Linked DNA regions of Macaca mulatta. The protein of the gene in region 1 interacts with the protein of each later gene in a biochemical or structural test. Links are inferred from orthologs where the notes say so. Each region holds a gene or a part of one and is shown on either strand. Other genes may lie near its edges.

Region 1 (2,557 bases):
TCCCAGCACTTTGGGAGGCTGAGGCGGGTGGATCACCTGAGGTCAGGAGTTAGAGACCAGCCTGGCCAACATAGTGAAACCATGTCTCTAGTAAAAATACGAAATTTAGCCGCGTGTGGTGGCATGCACCTGTAATCTCAGCTATTTGGGAGGTGGAGGCAGGGGAATCACTTAAACCCTGGAGGTGAGGTTGCAGTGAGCCAGGATCGCGCCATTGCACTCCAGCCTGGGCAACCGGCGCAAAACTCCATCTCAAAAAAAGAAAAAATGTGACACATGTGCAGATACCTTTTTTTTTTTTTTTTTTTTTTTTGGGTAGAGATGGGGTTTCATCAAGTTGCCCAGGCTGGGCTGAGCTCAAAGCAGTCCATCCACCTCAGCCTCCCAGAGTGCTGGGATGACAGGTGTGAGCCACCATGCCCGGCCTGCAGATACCTTTACATAGTAAAAAAAAAAAAAAAAATTTGAATCGGAGTTTGGCTCTTCTTGCCCATGCTGGAGTGCAGTGGCGTGATCTCAGCTCCCTGCAGCCTCCGCCTCCAGGGTTCAAGTGATTCTCCTGCTTCAGCCTCCCAAGTAGCTGGGATTATAGGTGGGCATGACCATGCCCGCTAATATTTTTGTGTTTTTAGTAGAGATGGTGTTTCACCGTGTTGGTCAGGCTGGTCTCAAACTCCTGACTTCAGATGATCTACCTACCTCTGATGTTTCACATAATTAGTATGTGTAATAACTTTTTATTATAATTGAACTGAAATCATATATACCTTGTGTGTATTTCTTGTAACTGTTTCAACACATAAGTATTAAAGCAGGGTACTTAACTTTTAGCAAAAGCGGCGCCAGGAAATTGAACAAAAACTTGAAGTTCAGGCAGAAGAAGAAAGAAAGCAGGTTGAAAATGAAAGGAGAGAACTGTTTGAAGAGAGGCGTGCTAAACAGACAGAACTGCGGCTTTTGGAACAGAAAGTTGAGCTTGCGCAGCTGGTGAGTGGTAATTTCGAATTCTAAGATTGGTAATCCTTTATGTTTACAAAAGCACTGACCTTTTACCTTTTCTTTAGCAAGAAGAATGGAATGAACATAATGCCAAAATAATTAAATATATAAGAACTAAGACAAAGCCCCATTTGTTTTATATTCCTGGAAGAATGTGTCCAGCTACCCAAAAATTAATAGAAGAGTCACAGAGAAAAATGAATGGTAAGTGTGTGAAGAGGTCCATTGAATTGTTCATAGCGGGTAAGGTAGTATGTTCATACGCACAAGTTTGTTTTCTAAAATACTTATGATTCAGTGATTGGTTTGCTGTGTTTGGTTTTTTAAAAAAAATAAGATATAAGATATTCTAGGCCGGGCACTGTGGTTCACGCCTGTAATCCCAGCACTTTGGGAGGCCAAAGCAGGCCAATCACGAGGTCAGGAGATCGAGACCATCCTGGTTAACACAGTGAAACCCCGTCTCTAGTCTCTACTAAAAATACAAAAAAAAAATTAGCTGGGCATGGTGGTAGAAGCCTGTAATTCTAGCTACTTGGCAGGCTGAGGCAGGAGAATCACTTGAACCTGGGAGGCAGAAGTTGCAGTGAGCCAAGATCGCGCCACTGAACCTCCAGCCTGGGCAACAGATCTAGACTCCGTCTCAAAAAAAAAAAGATACATTCTGAGATGCTGGTGAGTTTGTAGTATAGGAATATTTGTATCATGGAGTTTAATGTGAAAGTTATAGACAGTGCTTATGCATCTGTATTCCTTAAGCATTTGTGTATAATTTTTTTTTGCATGCTACTCTTATTCTGATAAAATGCTAAGAAGACAAATGTGAAAACCAACAGTTTCTAGATGGAACACACATGGAAGGATAGACACTGCTAAGATGATGATTTGTCTCTTTGGGATCAGAAAAATTAATACATAAAGATTAATCTGTTTTATCAGTTAGAAAATGTCTAGTTCTGTCTGCCACTAATTTCTAGTATGTAGATTTCCCATGGATCTTTGCTTTTATAATTTTATGTCAGTTTGTGATTACTTAATTGCCATAGTAGTATTTTGTCATAACTCTACAAAAACAAATCCAGATGAAGCTTAATGACAATTTGTGACCAGTTGTAAAATTGTGGCTTTGAATTTTGTTAATCGGTAAATTTTACACATGTAAATTTTTATTCTTTAGCTTTATTTGAAGGTAGACGCATCGAATTTGCAGAACAAATAAATAAAATGGAGGCTAGGCCTAGAAGACAATCAATGAAGGAAAAAGAGCATCAGGTGGTGCGTAATGAAGAACAGAAGGCGGAACAAGAAGAGGGTAAGGTGGCTCAGCGAGAGGAAGAGTTGGAGGAGACAGGTAATCAGCACAATGATGTAGAAATAGAGGAAGCAGGAGAGGAAGAGGAAAAGGAAATAGCAATTGTTCATAGTGATGCAGAGAAAGAACAGGAGGAGGAAGAACAAAAACAGGAAATTGAGGTTAAGATGGAGGAGGAAACTGAGGTAAGGGAAAGTGAGAAGCAGCAGGATAGTCAGCCTGAAGAAGTTATGGATGTGCTAGAGA
Region 2 (2,369 bases), on another chromosome or scaffold:
GGCCAACGTGGTGAAACCCCATCTCTACTAGAAATACAAAAAATTAGCTGGGCGTGGTGGGTGGTGCCTGTAATTCCAGCTACTCAGGAGGCTGAGGCAGGAAAATCGCTTGAACCCAGGAGGCAGAGGTTGTAGTGAGCCAAGAACACACTACTGCACTCCAACCCAGGCAAGAGACTCCGTCTGAAAAAAAAAAAAAAAAAAAAAAAAATTTCCCCTGCTACTCTGGAGGCTGAAACAGGAGTTGGAGGCTGTAGTGAGCTATGATCGCACCATGGTACGCACTCCAGCCTGGGTGAAAGAGCGAGAGTCTGTCTCAAAACACACACACATTCCGAGGGGGTGATAAAACCATCTCCACAGCAGCAACCTAATACCCACAGCACACAAACCCTAGATTCTCCTGACAAAGCATTGGAGGTGCCACTGTGGATGTTGAGGAACAGAAAGTTACTAGGGGCGAGGGTACAGTGAGAAGGCAGTGAACCCAGTACTAGATCTGCATTCCAATCTTGGGTTTATTCAACACAATTCTTCCACTCTACACAACAAAGTACAAACACAATGTCATCTAAAATGCTACAAAGGTATAAAACTCAAAGAGAAATTTTATAGTACTGACTGTACAATAAAAGCAAAAAAGCAAAAAAAAAAAAAAAAAGCAATGTACATGTTGCCAAGATAACCTGAAAGACCACCACGAAGGGCAGGCACAACCATGGCTGCTTGATGATCCCGCACAGCTGGCTCTCACTCGCCAGTTTCAGAGTAGGGTGGTGGGGTGGGGTGTGTGCATGGGTGCACGGACAGACAGAACCATGCACAGCAATTACCATAGGTGAGAGGATCTTTGGGGGTGTGTGACCCTTGAAGTTGGAAGAGGCCTCAAGAGGCCGAGGCTAACAGGGTTGGCAGCTGCACTAAAGCTCGGGACGGCTCCCTTTCCAAAAGGACACCGCCCAGCAACAGCAAGGGCACAGTCTGGCAACCATCTCAGGTAACTAGGGAAGGGAAAAGTGTGCTCCCAGGCAGGCAGGGTCACACCATCCCCCAGAGCCTCACCTGTCCCTGGTGGCCCTGCCACTGAACTGACTCTTAGAAACTGGAAGCGGGCGAGCTTCCTAGCCACAAAACCGGAGGGAATCTTGACAGGCACACAACACCCAAACCAACAGCACTTCTGCAGCCAGAGCCCGGCCGGCAGAGGGGTGCTGACTGCTGCCTGCAAATTCTGCCCGAGTGAAGGGTTTGCTTTCCTACTGATCTTCCTTTGGCTAGAAAAGTGACAAAACTGAGCTGGGTGGGGTATAAGTTACAGGGGCGAGAGCTTCAGTGGCCTGTTTATCGGGAGGAGTTGGAGCTGGAGCGGCTCCTGTGGCGGCGGCGTCCCGGGGAGCGTGATCTCCGGCGCACAGGGGACCTGCGCCTCGGAGAGCGGGACCTGCAGGAAGAGGAGAAACCACATCAGAGTAGCTCAGGCTGTAGGGGGCAAGCTAGCTTCTTTCTGGGTAATTCCCCAGTTTTACTTTTCTGAGACAGAATCTCACTCTGTCGCCAGGTCAGAGTGCAGTGGCACGATCTCGGCTCACCACAACCTCTGCCTCCCGGCTTGAAGCGATTCGCCTGCCTCACCCTACCAAACAAACGGGACTACAGGCGTGCGCCACCATGCCCAGCTAATATTTGTATTCTTTTTTTTGATATGGAGTCTCACTCTGTCTCCCAGGCTGAGTGCAGTGGTGCAATCTCAGCTCACTGCAAGCTCCACCTTCCGGGTTCACGCCATTCTCCTGCCTCAACCTCCCAAGTAGCTGGGACTACAGGCGCCCGCCACCACGCACAGCTAATTTTTTCTATTTTTAGTAGAGATGGGGTTTCTTTTTTTTTTTTTTTTTTTTTGAGACGGAGTCTCGCTGTGTCTCCCAGGCTGGAGTGCAGTGGCACGATCTCGGCTCACTGCAAGCTCCGCCCCCTTGGTTCACACCATTCTCCCGCCTCAGCCTCCCAAGTAGCTGGGACTACAGGTGCCCGCTACCACGCCCGGCTAATTTTTTGTATTTTTAGTAGAGACGGGGTTTCACCGTGTTAGCCAGGATAGTCTCGATCTCCTGACCTCGTGATCCACCCGCCTCGGCCTCCCAAAGTGCTGGGATTACAGGCTTGAGCCACCGCGCCCGGCCGAGATGGGGTTTCAATGTGTTAGCCAGGATGGTCTCAATCTCCTGACCTCGTATCCGCCCACCTCAGCGTCCCAAAGTGCTGGGATTACAGGCGTGAGCCACTACACCCAGCCGAAGTTTTAGTTTTTAATACCAGAAATTGGGACAGGTCCCACCTGATGGGCCTGCCCTGAGCTCTTGGGAACGGGT

The links. The genes of interacting proteins can lie anywhere in the genome.
Region 2: the proteins of PNN (region 1) and RNPS1 form a complex in vitro, tested with the Homo sapiens proteins (3 studies listed by BioGRID and IntAct). The link is inferred for Macaca mulatta from reciprocal best matches to the Homo sapiens genes PNN and RNPS1.

The regions. Positions count from the first base shown.
Region 1 is NC_133412.1:112,292,418-112,294,974, forward strand, and holds part of PNN (pinin), read left to right. Parts: intron 1-831; coding exon 832-987; intron 988-1,064; coding exon 1,065-1,203; intron 1,204-2,176; coding exon 2,177-2,557. UniProt on the Homo sapiens protein: Transcriptional activator binding to the E-box 1 core sequence of the E-cadherin promoter gene; the core-binding sequence is 5'CAGGTG-3'. Capable of reversing CTBP1-mediated transcription repression.
Region 2 is NC_133425.1:3,489,831-3,492,199, forward strand, and holds the end of RNPS1 (RNA-binding protein with serine-rich domain 1), read right to left. Parts: intron 1,494-2,369; exon of another isoform or gene 1,442-1,493; coding exon 1,342-1,441; coding exon of another isoform or gene 1,275-1,341; 3' UTR 501-1,274; downstream 1-500. UniProt on the Homo sapiens protein: Part of pre- and post-splicing multiprotein mRNP complexes. Auxiliary component of the splicing-dependent multiprotein exon junction complex (EJC) deposited at splice junction on mRNAs.